2 linked regions of the Drosophila melanogaster genome follow. The protein of the gene in region 2 interacts with the protein of the main gene of each other region in a pairwise test. Each region holds a gene or a part of one and is shown on either strand. Other genes may lie near its edges.

What was found. The genes of interacting proteins can lie anywhere in the genome.
Region 1: the proteins of CG32075 (region 2) and Prosbeta5R1 interact in a two-hybrid assay, tested with the Drosophila melanogaster proteins (one large-scale study listed by BioGRID).

The regions. Positions count from the first base shown.
Region 1 is NT_033778.4:23,306,546-23,313,843, forward strand, and holds Prosbeta5R1 (proteasome beta5 subunit-related 1), read right to left. Parts: upstream 3,272-7,298; 5' UTR 3,184-3,271; coding exon 3,034-3,183; intron 2,978-3,033; coding exon 2,180-2,977; 3' UTR 2,109-2,179; downstream 1-2,108. Other genes in the region: HP1Lcsd (heterochromatin protein 1L chromoshadow domain), read right to left, coding at 6,502-6,753.
Region 2 is NT_037436.4:11,062,226-11,068,590, forward strand, and holds CG32075 (uncharacterized protein), read right to left. Parts: upstream 2,717-6,365; 5' UTR 2,436-2,716; coding exon 2,296-2,435; intron 2,237-2,295; coding exon 1,237-2,236; intron 1,177-1,236; coding exon 962-1,176; intron 899-961; coding exon 678-898; intron 599-677; coding exon 549-598; 3' UTR 501-548; downstream 1-500. Other genes in the region: CG32069 (uncharacterized protein), read right to left, coding at 1-3, 66-164, 231-318; CG45101 (uncharacterized protein), read left to right, coding at 2,943-3,149; SuUR (suppressor of Under-Replication), read left to right, coding at 3,170-3,497, 3,605-3,804, 3,871-4,049, 4,136-6,317.

The sequences.
Region 1 (7,298 bases), on a different chromosome or scaffold from region 2:
GCAACATCATCATCACCGGCAGGCAACATCCCTGCCCACTCCGCCAGTCTCCGCCCAGCGAGCAGTCACGCTTGCTTGTCAAACACTCTGGCAGACTCTTACGATCTCCGCCGTCTTCGGATGCACCTCCTCCTCCCCCTGCTCCTCCTACGCCGCTCCGTAGCAAAATCCATTTGCATATTTGCATCCTTATGCCTGACAGTTAACGCCCCCCTCCGGACTTTCCACCTCTTGCAAGCGGCGCGCTTTTAACGACAAAGTGTGAAATTTCATTGAATTTGAGCTCGTTGACAAAAGTGGAATGGCAGCAGCAGCAGCAACAACGCAACAACTGCAGCAGCAACAACGCGCAGCAGCAACATCGCAGGTGTTGCAGCTTGTTGTTGCTGCCGCTCTTGTTGTTTGCAAATTAATTTAAATTATGGTTGCTGCGTTTTTTTTTTTCGACAAGCTTTTTATGCCATATTAGCTGAAGGCTGGGGCGAATTTTGTAATGGAGAAGGAAACCAGCTAATTTGGGAAAATCGATACTATCAATTAGTTTGCGTTATTTTGAAAACAACCACTTCATTATTGTATGCTAATATTTCGCACAGCGATTTTCAGTAGAGATTGCAGCCAGGTAGTTAAACTGAAAATTTTAATTTTAAGTCCACTCTTTAAAGAGTAAAACCTTTGGCATTTTAAAATATTAGAAATTTAATACACTTCTACGTTTTGTTGTTCAACGCGTTTGGAAAATTTGTGCGTGGCCACTTCTTGCCACCATGGAAGTAAGTACACAAATCTAGTGCTGCCGGAAAATAGTTTTGACCCATTAACCCGGGTTGCAACATTTTTTCCGCCACTTTTGCTCCACTTACCCGCAATGAGGATTTTCCGAACTTGGGCCACACGGCTTTGGCTTTAAGTAATTTTCTAATGACACCACAGAGGAAAAATGACTCTCGAGGACGACTTGGGGGCTGGCAAGTTGTCTCCATTCCCCCCCAGTTTTGCAGCTCCTGCTGGCGACGTTCATTAGATTAAAAGCAATTTACAGTAAAACTTTTTGCCACAAAACGCCTTTTGGCCCGATGTTGCTCCGCCTCCCTTCCAGCCCCCCCACAATCCAGCTGTTTCACCACACGTTCTGCAACTCACATGTGCCCAAAACGCCGTGCAAATGCTGCCACCACCAACTCCTTAAGCACTGAGAGAAAAGTTATAGTGCATAGCACAAATTATATATCTTACAAAAATACCGTTCTTGAGAGTTATGTCTACTTGCACATCATTTTGTGCATTTGATATATTTGCTTAATAATATATTTAATATTCGTATTTCCTCCGTGTAGTCATTTGGTGCTCTTTCCTCTTCTTTTGGAATTCAACAAATTTGCGGATTTGGTTTGTAATTTATTAAATTTATCGCATGCTCAGAGCGCCTTAACAGTCGTGCAACGAGGAGGAGGAAGATCCCGATGAGGATGAGGACGATAATGGGGATAAAGATGAGGATGAGGGTCACCACCCAGTGGGGCGTTTGGGAGAGAATGACCTACGCCTGCTAATGTCTGCGGTTGCGCTTTTCCGGCGGGGGAGGGGGAGGGGATGGGCAGTGAGGAGCAGATCCCCCGGACGGAGTCTCCAGGCAGTGGCATCTGCAACATTTGTTGATGACAACCCAAAGACACGGAGTGCAACATTTCGGCGAACATTTCGTTGGCCGTATTTTGTGTGCGGCACGCCCATTTGGGGAAAGTCATTGCGAGCTTAGAAGTTATTATTTTGATTTATAGGAAAAGTTCGTTTAGCGAGCGAAAGTTGCTCGTATATTTTCCGCAGTGGAGGATGGAAGAGAGGGGAGTTTGAGGAGTGAAAAAAATTAGATAGAAGCACAGCTTTTAAAGTGTGGCGAGTGCGGGGCGAAAGGCATTTGTATGTATGCAGCTCTTGTTTTCATTATTAGTGGCTAAAACTTTGAAATGTATCTGTATGTGTGCTTTTAGAACTGAAGAGGATTAGATAGAACAATCCAGCATACGGTTCGGAAAACTATTCTCACGATAAATTCCGGACTTCTTCACTGCCACAAATTCCCATTACCATAAACACTAACACTTTATACGTTTTGCACGACAGAAGTTTTACTTCCACAGAAATTTTTGCTAATGTTGCTCCAATAATTTCCAAATTTTCATACCGTTGCCAGCTTAGTCTGCAAATTGTCTGCTGTGATATTCTTCTTCGTCCAGCCACTGGAACAGGGCTTATCATTGTCGGGATCGCCTACGTTTCCTACATCCTTCTCGTTCCCCGGACACCCAGATGCGCAATACGAGTCATGGAGATCGGAGCAGTCCGTATTGCAGATATTTCGCCAGCCCTCCGAATGAATGTGGTAGAGACGCACGATTCCACCAGAATAGGCATCCTTACTGGTCGCATGGTAAATCGCTCGCCTGGCCAGGTCATAGGCCTCCTGATCGGAGAGATCATAGCGGTACCCAGTGTCCAATACGCCGAGCGCATATGGAGAACCGCTGCCCACGGAGAAGACTTGACCATGGGATCTCATGCCCTCCGAGTCCACGTAAATCAGCTTGGGTCCCTCGTCGTCGAAGCCGGCCAGCATCATGCCCATCACCAGACCCATGCCCTTGTACTCCGTGGATATGTTGCAGATGATCCGGGCAGCCGTGTCCACGGTCATGCGTTTCCGATAGCGCAGCTGGTGCAGGCGACACTCCTTAGCCAAAACCCGATCCCAGTAGACGCAATCGGCGGCTCCGCCGGCCAATGTGCCCAGCATATAGTCGTTCAGCTCGACTATTTTCCTCATCGTCTGGGATCCAATATACTGGCCAGAGGTGGCCCTAGAATCAGCACACAGAATCACTCCTCCGCGATACTTGAAACCCAGAGTGGTGGTGCCGTGATCGAAATCCATGCGAATGCCACAGTGCGACAGGATCTTGGGCAGATTTTCAGCGGGCTTGAGAAGAGTTTCAATCTTAGATGGATCTTTTGGATTATGAAACCTATACTAACTCTTTCGAAGGGAGGCGCCATCAGTTCGTAGGGATTCTCAAAATTACTGGTTGCCTCGCGAAGCTGCTCCTTCTGCCATTCGGACTGCAAGTCATCGAAGCGCCGCATAAAAGGCATTTTATTCATGCCGCAAATCGCTTCCAGAGCCATTATGTGTTCAAAAAGAGTTTATTATTTCCAATAAATAGTTTAGTGTAATGTGTAAATGAGCACACTAAACGAGCTCGAATGATTGTGGAGTTAAGTCTCTAAGGCATCTTACAAGTGTATCAAAAATGTACTTTAATCAAAACAAGATCACAAGATCAGAAAGCTGGACATCTTGTTCCCATCAAAATATCGCATTCCGCTTGAAAGTTTCGCTCCACTGGACAATCCGCAGCGGCAATTCGCAGTCTCCGATTCCATTGGCATTTCATGGTTAGTGGGTGAGAGTGGTCGCAGCGGCACTTTCGCCGGCCACCCAAGTGGAATCCAATGGACCTTCTGTGGGCAGTGGCAGTGGCAGTGGCAGTGGCGCCACCGCAGAGATACACGACATTTTAATTGGACTGCCGGGCAGGGTCATCATCGCCACCTGCCGAGATGCGAAATTGGGACCAAAACGAGTGGGGAATGGCATAGAAGGTGCTTTCGCAGTGACCACGCCCACTCGCAGGCGGTGGCAAACGGATTAGCCGCTAATTAAAGGCCAATTGGCAATGTTTGCCAAACTGTTTGAGTCCGCGGGTCGACTGGCCTGATACCCCCCGTGATATATGTCCCATCCCAGTGGCAGTCGCAGTCACTCCGGCTGCTCCCACTGCCTCCATTAGTGGACGCCATGTGTCACTGATCTAAATTTATGCAAATTGCCGAGGACTTGGCCTCCGCATTCCCCAAACCACCGAATTCCATTTCCCATTCCCCATTCCGCATCTCCCATCCGCCACATTGGCACATTTCATTTTTGCACGCGCTTTCCATTGCAGCCTGCATTCCCCCCGCCCTTCGAATGGAAAACTAAGGGGGCGGAAGCAATTCGGAGAAAGGCGGGCTGGAAAGGAAAAATCGAGGCAAAAGAAACGAGCTGGCTAAGCCCTTCATCCAAACATACCCTAACTATGAGTACATGAAACCACTCACTGTTATTTTATTGGTCACGAAGCATAATAGTTTACTGGACTATCTAAATGTTAAGTCTAAGTATTAGTATTAAGTATTATTTAAGTATCCAATTGGATACTTAAGGTTTGTCGGTATATTTTGTATATATTTATTATATAAACTTTAGATTGCTGTAGGGTATTCAGCTTATCAACAAATATGACAATTCTTTCGCAGCGCTGCAGTTGCTGGATAGTTTTGACAGCCAGCTCTGATTATTAAATCACAGGGCAGGGACAAACTGGAGCCGGGGCAGCAATCTGATATGCAAAATCTCGTCTAACCCAGACGATGCTACTCCACCAGCTCCTCCTGGCCACCATCATCCTGCATCCCGAATCCCCATTTCCCCCTCCCTGCCCTGCGCGGCATCTGTCCTGCGTTAATTACAGCCCAGTTTTGTGCACTGGCAACAACTTGTTAAAAATTTCCGCTGCCAGTTTATTAGAGGGCAACTAACTAAGGCAGCGTAGTGGAAGAATCTGGCCATTCCCTTCGCTTTTGGCCTGAAGTGGCTGGCAGATTACTCAGTCTGAACCTGTTTTAATGACTAAAATGACGCCAAGTCAAGAGCGAATAAGAGATTAGGCCAAACTTGAGCTTCCCGTCTGCGAATCGTTGCAGCGCTGGACCAAGAGCACGATTTTGTGGCATCGGATTTAGTTGAGAGCCAAAATAATAGCCTTTTATTCGGTGCATAGTTCTTAATTATTTACAATTTGAAATCACATGAGCCTTATTATACAATAGATGAACTATGCAAGATGAGCGAGTTGCTTAATAGACACTAAACATTGAATAACTTTGCTCTCAATCCACTTAGGCAACTTTGCTGAGTAATAAAAAATAAACCACCTTGTTGACAAGCTTAGGAATATTCCCCGAATCTTTTCAAAGAGTTTCTTTTTAAGCTCTCGAATTACAAAAACGAAACTCCGCCGAGAATTGTTAAAATAAAATTCAACTAAGGCGCACGTAAGCAAAAAGCGTTTTAGGGACTTTCGCCGGCGAATATTTTATTTCACTTTCGTTTTATTTACTTTTGCCGCTTAGCATTATTGTTTCAAAATCCTTCAAATCCGTTGTTTTACTGCTTATTGTTCGCCAACTCAGCCCACCAACTTTGTTGCCAGCAACTTTTAAGCTTGCTTAAGGCGCCCAACCAACCAGACTTGCCTGCTCCCAAAATGACGCAAAACTTTCCCATGACTGGGGCATCATACCCACCACCCACCAAGCCACCGATCTCAGTGAGCCACCCAACCACCGCCGTCCAATTTGTAGTTCATCATCTGTCCCGCGGACCTGTCAAAGCCCCAAAGCTGCCCAAATTGTGACAGAGCGACGGTCGGCGGCGGGGGATTCCCCGAAAGCAGTTTTGACATTTGCGTTTAATTTATTTTAATTGAAAAAGGCCCGCCAAATGGATTAGGCCGTCGTATTCACTTGCGGCCCAGACTTTTCCAAAATAATGCACATCAAAAAATCAATAGTAGCTATCATTAAGCTAGTTTCCACTCAAATCTCTTTTCGATGACCTTCAGGTTAAGTATTCACCTGAAGCATATACAATAAAACACGCTTTTCTAATTTCCATTCAATTTACATTAAATTTGTCTACGTGTGCTGCTTATGAAAAAGTTGATCCACATTGATCCGCCGACATCAAAGTCAGATACAAACCAGTGGGGCAAACTACAATACAATATTTGTACGCCAAACAAAGTGCGGGATTTTACGATGATGCATTAAATTAAAAACTTTGGCCTGAGAACAGTCCATTAGTCGGGCAAAAAGTACACGAAGTCCAATTGCAATGCTTATTTATGGGCCAGATTAAAATTTTATAAATGGAAAGTAATTCCCGAAGTGCGGCCATAAAACAAACTCCCCGGCCAACCGCTCAAACTTTTTCATCATCTCGCCAGGAATCGACATCTTGAGGGGCAGAACTTCTTGTAGGTTTTAACGACTAACGACTTTGCATTGGTTTTCATGGCCAGAGTGCCGAAAGCATTCAAGTTGGCTTTTATGGTTGACACAACATATTTGCCGGCATTCCAAGCCAATTGCCAACTCTCACATATCCGGAGATACGCATCCTAATTGTTGCGCTCCAGGATTTTATGGTTCTTTGAGAGCCATTAATCCGAATTTGATATCTGCCTAATTAGTTTTCCCTGCTTGGCTTTTATGGCCAACAGCGTCGTAAATTTTCATGATCGATTCGAGCGGTAAGGTGCGAAAAGAAAACTCCGCCCAGACGATAGGCAACCAAAAACAACGTGTTTCGTTTGCTGCATAATTGAATTTAATTATAAATCATCCATCCTCGCTGGCTTTTCTCTTTCTTGGATTGCCTTTCCGGGATTCGGGCGGGGGCAAGGATAGGTGGTCCATGTAGAATTCGATCACCATTTGGGGAATGCGTCTGTTGGCCTCGATACCTGGAACCACTTCCACCACGGGCGAGTCCTTGAACTTTATCAGAAACATCGTATTTTTATTCGCTGTCGTAAAAACGTAAACTATTTTTTCTACCATCCTACCCCGGACAAATGGCGTGCGGTCCATTATCTAAAAGAAAATAAAACAGTATTACTTATAAGTTTTCTATACCGGGAAAGCACCTAAATTCAACACTTTAGGTTGAATGCAAAACTCTTGCAACACTGGGTCGTTGACTTTGAGTCACATGGAATGTGCCGGTGCATCGTCGGCACAAACTTTTTTCTTTCACGCCGCCAAACAATGCAAATGCACTTTGATTGTTGTTGACCAACAAACAGGCACGCGTCCATCGCAACTCCGTGGCGGCAACAGAGAAAAGTGGCAATGACCAGGGAGAGCTGCTCATGTGAATGCCACGCTTCTGAGTTTTGGGCCACGGCTTCTTGCCGCATTCGATGGACGATACTGTCAAAGAACTGAAAGAGATTCCACTTCGGGTGATTCTCCTCTGATTATCGAGGCAATGACAATTTCCTCAATTTATGCGCACTGCTATGCGATTTAATTGCGCTGCATCGCTTGATTTTAGTGGCAATACATGCATCGCTGATTATAAGGAAACTCACCCGTTTAATGGAAAAATTCGCCTGGAAAGATTAAGATGTTTG
Region 2 (6,365 bases):
GAACTGAAAGAATGGGATATGGTGAAGCAATCATGTTTATAGAAACATAGTAATATGGTACTCACTTTTGGCCACTGTGCGTATGGAACGAATGAGGTTTAGCACCTGATCCTTGGCCGTAGGTGCTCCAAAGTCCTGCTGGCCCGCCTGTCGTCCCCAGCCAACTAAAAAGTGTGCCAAAAAATTGAACATCGTGGCATTGGAAGCAAAAATACTGTATGAGAACTTACACTTGGCCAGAAAGCGTTCCTCGTGCAGAATGCACACCGCATTCAGGCACAGGAGTGAAGATTCAATCAGTGTCCACAAAGTAAACATAATTGCGCGAAGTTATTCCTATTTACATCAAAATAAACCAAAATCGCCAATAATTGTTGACGTCAGTGATGCCGACTGCCATTCACTATGAGCGCAGACTCAGCTGATGTTGGCGCTCGGTGTGAATGGTAAATGATTATATGGACAAGAAATGCGCGCCAAATAAAAATTCAAATCTGGATCTAGTACTAGTTTTTATTAATTACTTTATTTAATATTAATCTGCGTATTTATTGAGCCCAAGGGAGCACACCCAATGCACATTTGGGCCAATCGGTATCTGGAAATAGCATTTACAGTAAGAGCGATAATTGATTAATTTTCAAATCACATAAATGCAAAGCCAAATCAAAACTTACGCTTGTCTAATTTCCAAACTCCCCAGTCTGATGTATGCTCTTTGCTTTGAGCTGCTTGTTCCAAAAATCGTTCCAAACGGTCTAGATTGTTGCTCTCCTCTGAAGAGCTATCTTCTTCCATAGCTTCCTCTTCATAAAATTCTTCAAGCTGTGCATCGCAGAGTTTAGTTAAATCCTCAATTTGCGTCTTGGTGTATGGAGGATCTGCGAGCGGTAATAATCTAAGAAAATGTCAATCTTATTAATCCAAAAGCAAGTAAACCCAAAAAAAAATGTATACCTACCCTTTTAGAATGGGCGCTGAGTAATTGCTAAATGCATCAACACGCTGCATAATAAAATCACGATCAAAAATCAAAGACCTGGACTTTTTGGGATTGTCGCCAAAAATAAGGGTAACCGAGAGATCGGCATTTGAGTGTACTAACAGACTGCGCATTGTCTTAGAAATTTTATCCGTGTTTAGGGTGGCAAAGTCCGCTGGTTTTAGTTTATCGTTCTGGAAAATAAAGAATATTTTAGTGTTTTCATCGTTAACACACTCCGTATTTATACTAACCAAATCCAGTTCGGCTTTGTACATGCGCTTCATACGGAACAGCATCCCAAATGTTTCCAACATTTTCTTTGCCCAGTAGCTGGCTCCCAGACGCCTTTGCTCCGACTCGTTTTGGTTTTCACTCAGTTGAACTAGGGCCAAAAAAACCTTCTCGATATATCCCTGCACGGCCAATAGACGGAAGAGTCCCTGTGTGGCTGCAATGATGACATCCTCGTTGTCGTCGATTTCCAAGCCAACGCCAAGGAAGTATTTCATTTTAAGCAGGCATTTTGTATATATGTCCAGCAGATCCTTCATCGATGATGACTCCTTTTTGACCAACGCACTTAGATCACCTAACACAGCACTCAGAATTTCTTTCGATGTCTTCGCCTTCTTGCTGGAGGAGTAGACTCGTATCTTATTGAATTCACCACTGGATTTTAGCTTGCTAATGGCCTTTAGTTTCTCAGCCCCCTTGATATGGCACTCCAGGGTTAGATCGTAGATCTCCAGAAGATCTGTCACAGCCTTTTCAAACTTAAGCTTGTCCTTGCGATGCAGTTTGCCAGCATCCAAATTGGACATGGTTTCCATGTGTGGCAACCAGTAGTAGGTGCGCAGCCACTCCAGACAATGATTCGAGGTGTTTCTCAGCACCTCCACAGGCGGCAGCTCCTGTCCATGGGCGCACAAGTGGCGCAGATCAACGATGAACGACTGGAGGCCCAGTTCCTTGGCCGTTTCATACATGCTGGACATGTTGTGTCCCTGGATAATGGAGGACATAAAGTTGTAGAATCGTGTAAAGGCACTGGCATAGGTGTCCTGTATTTTGGCGCTGCCCTCCTGGTCCTCCAAGTGCGCCTGAACAAGCACCGATGTGGCCAAAACCGCTGCCGGGCAGAGACTTCCTCTTCGCAGACACCAAATGCGGATTTTACTGAGCGCTTGACGCCATGTGGCTGGTGTGTTGGACTTGCCAAACAACCATTTGTACGTTGTATTAAATTCCAGCCTGAAAATGTAATGTTTTTATCAACGGATTGGATTTGTTTCCACTTTTTGTCTACGCACGTGTCTCGCCAAGGAGTGACCACAGTTCGTTGTTTTACATTTGGTGGCGGTGTGACAGGAACAACTTTGGCTTTCTGCTGTTTTCCCTTTTCAGGGCTTTTCTTTTTTGCCTCAAATTTTTCCTTCTTTGCAACAGCCATGGCAATTTGGTCTGAATAAATTTAAACAAATTCCATGCGAAACAAACCGCAAACGAAATCACAACAGTTGCAACAGTGATGAGCTAAATGCAGCTATAAAAATGAATTCCTTACACAAGTTTTGAGTTGGCAGAATAAATAATTTAATTTAAAAACATTTTACTCGCCAAAGGTTTCCAACCTAATGTATTTTACTAATCCTTGTCGGTTCAGTAAGTTTTTTTTAATATTTTGCTATTAATCAAGAGCAGTATCTCTTTTGGCTATTTCTAGACATTGCTTCGTTTGCCAACACTACCAACGTCCAACAGCTGATCGCGCCAACAAGACGCAGCCGGTTCTGTGTGAATGGTGAAATAGAATTGGAGCCAAAAATAATATTTTCTTCTTGTTCGATTGTTAAGCCTTTTCCCGCGCCCCCGCCATGACTAACAGCGCTTAACCCAATTTCCCAAAAGGGACGAAAATTGTCCTCCGAAAAAATTGAAGCTTAACTAGTTTCAACACATGTACGAGATCCAACATCCTGTTATCATCAACAACAACTACAACGTGGTGGACATACTGCATCCGGAGAATATCGAATTCGATGGGCCGTCTGCGGCGCGAAAGATGATAATTGGTTCATTTTCGATGTTCGTGATCTTCTCGTACCTGCAACTATTCTACATCCTGGTTGCCATCTATCTGGCCCTGCATCACGCACACCATTGATTCGAATTCTCTGAAGGATCATGTATCACTTTGTATCCGAGCAAACGCCGGAGGTGCGGCTCACAGATGAGGCACTGGTCACGAGCCACGTGACGCAGTACCTCAAGAGCTTTCAACTGGATGCCGTCCGCTTCGTCTACGATCGTTTGGCTAAGCGGGAATTCTGCATCCTGAATGATGAGAGTGGCCTTGGAAAGGTCGCTACGGTGGCGGCACTTCTAAGTGCCCTACCACCCGCCAAAAAAACACTTGTGGTGCTCCAGAACGATGAGCAACTGCTCACCGGTTGGCGATTCCATTTGGACACTCTCACTGACCTCCAGGTGTACATCATTCAGGGGGTGCAAGGTAATGCCTAATATTTAAATGGATTTGTTGATAAGAATGTTATCGTAATTTCACATTATTGCCATTTAAAAATTAAACTTCAACACCTTCACTTTCTGCCTTTACAGATACCACCGACTCCCCGCACAGCGTTTACCTGGCGAAATGGAGCCAACTACGGAGCATTGGAGATCTCAGTCGCCTCAAGTTCGACTACATTATGGTGGATAATCGGGGGCATTCGCTGAACAACAGCTTTTGCACTTCCATGCTGCTGAAGCAATTCGAGGGACGGGTAAACGTTCTTATCTCCAGTGTTGACGTTACGGTGAGGCAATGCATTCATAATATGGTTTATATCATTTTAGCTTATGTGGTTTCTCTCTCTCTGCAGTCCGACGTTAGGTTGCTCTACAATGTTCTACGGTTGGGCGGCCGACTGGAGCATCAGTACAAAAGCTTTGCGAGCTTCGATCGAAAATTCCATCTGCCAGATCCGAAGGAGGTATTCAGTAAGCGCATAGATCTCGAGGAATACTACAAGCAGCGGGGATTCCTCAGCGAGTACATCAAGTAGGTGAACCAGCAACGATCAGTTTCACTGTTGCATAAGACCGGAATAGTCAGTTGCATATGAAAATAACTTATATAATTTGTAGGGACTTTCGTCTGCGTCGTTTTCGTCATCAATTCGACAAGTCACTGCCACTTGTCGCACCGGAGCAATACAAACACAATCTGAATCTCTGGTTGGCCTCAAAGAACAGCCAGAGCACAATAAGCGGCTCAGATGTGTGCTCTACAATCGCTTCCATAGACAACAATCCGGCTCAGCAAAATAAAACTGGGCTCTTTGAAGAAACGGATAGGTTATCCGAGCACAGCGTGGATGATGTGGCAATGTCACCGCTGATATTCGAGTATTCCGAGTCTGACGATGAACCCCTAACAGTAGAACCTGATGCAGATCAAAACCCGGTATTAGTTGTATCCAGCGATGATTGTGAGATTGTAACACCTCCAAGTACTCCGCAAAATCGAACGCCCTCATTAAATGAATCACCAAGGACGAAATCAAAGAAAAAATTTAGCAAAAAAACGTCACCGCGCAAAAAAGCTGATCTCACCGATTCCGAAGAGGATGATGAAGCGACCGATAATATGCCGCCAAGGAAGAGAACTCGTGCAGCCACCGTTCATCTGACACCTAAGACAAGGAGACTCAATGTTCGAATTTTAAGGGTTTCCCTCGATACTCTGAGCACACCACCACCGTCCAGAACCACTACTGCGATCGTAACGCCCAAAACGGAGCCCACAGCTAGAAGAAAAAATCTGAAAAAGCGCACGGTGAGCCCAGTGGATGTGGGTCGTCCAGCCACAAGGGGAATGCAGCGCCTAACACGATCCGCTGAAACAAAAATAAACAGTAAGTACTTGAAACATCGCTCATTGGATGATGTCAAGCGTAGCTTTCCAAGGAGAGTCAAGTTGGAGGGTAACCAAACGCCCAGAAGTAGCAAACAAATAGTGAAGCAGGAGCCTAAGTCTAAAGTCGGGCAGGAAAAGAAACAGAAGACGGTGGATGTACCTGCTCAAGGAACTGCGAAACGAAAGCCTGGACGTCCGAGAAAATGCCAAACCAAGACTGAAGATTTGGGGAAGACAAAGACTAAGCCGAATTCAAAGCACTTGCCACCTACTCCTCAAGTTCTCAGTGGTAGCTCGTTGTCCTCGGAGTACATGCAATGTGCTCAGCGAATACCAGACAATTTGGATGCCATTGAGTCGCCCGCTTTTCGTGTGCCCTTTACACCTCAACAAACTCCAATGCTTCTAACCTTGCCGTCTACACACAATTTGCTCAACGATTCTGAGGTGGTGTCTATTCCGCTTTACAAAGATCCAGTTGAGACAGTGGTGATCAATAGCTCGCACGATGAGTGTTCTCCGCAGGATCCATCGCAGAGTCGTCGCACCAAGGCTTTGAAAAGAAAACGCAAACCCGTGACGTCCGTCAATTCAAGTTTCGGCGGCGGATTGGGTCTACCACCGGCCAAGAGGAGTGCCAACAAATCTCCAGATCTATTTAGCATATCCTCGGAACACTCGCAGATTCCGCTGGCGCAACCAAGACCCTCATCGCCCTTCGAAGGCTTTAAGATCTTTGGCTCTGAGGTGAAGCAGTTTCAGCAGCAGCTAGCGAAAGTAAATATATCGGTGCCAAAAAAGAAGCGAGATCGCTCGTGTTTGGATATCCTGGAGCAAATGTTCGAGCCACGACAACAGCAGTCGGCTAAAACTAGTCCCAAAGTCTTGCCAACCTTGCCACTGACCCAGAAGGATGATGCAGAGTCTACCATTACGCAGAGAAGAAGAACCCTGCTGGAAGATGACTTCTTTGAGATAACGAACAATGGCCAATTTGGCAGTCGCATGCGATTGAACTCCTCTGGCGAAGTATCGCCCGTGCAACCGGATCAACAGTCCGTCAGGCCGTCGCAGGCCAATAAAATCACCAATTATTTGATAGGTTCTGGAATTACGCAGGAGCGAACGCAACCTTCGAATGGTAATCGCAATTCCATTCTTGCATCGCTGCGCAAGTCACCCAAATCTCCCAAACAGGGTGCTAAATCCACTCAGGCCACGAAACTAACACGCTGGTTTGGCTCCGTCTTCGGCGGTGGAGCCTCACAGACCAGCTCCGTGGAATCGGTTAGTGCACCAAGTACGCCGGTGAATTCATCCACAAGTGCAGCAGCTTGTCAAACGCGATCGGCGAGAAGTGGTGGAGCATCAGGACCGACCAAAAGAAAGCGATTGGAACTGTTCAAGTGATGAACAGCAATCAATGAAAATGACAAAAACCAAATCAAATCAAATCCA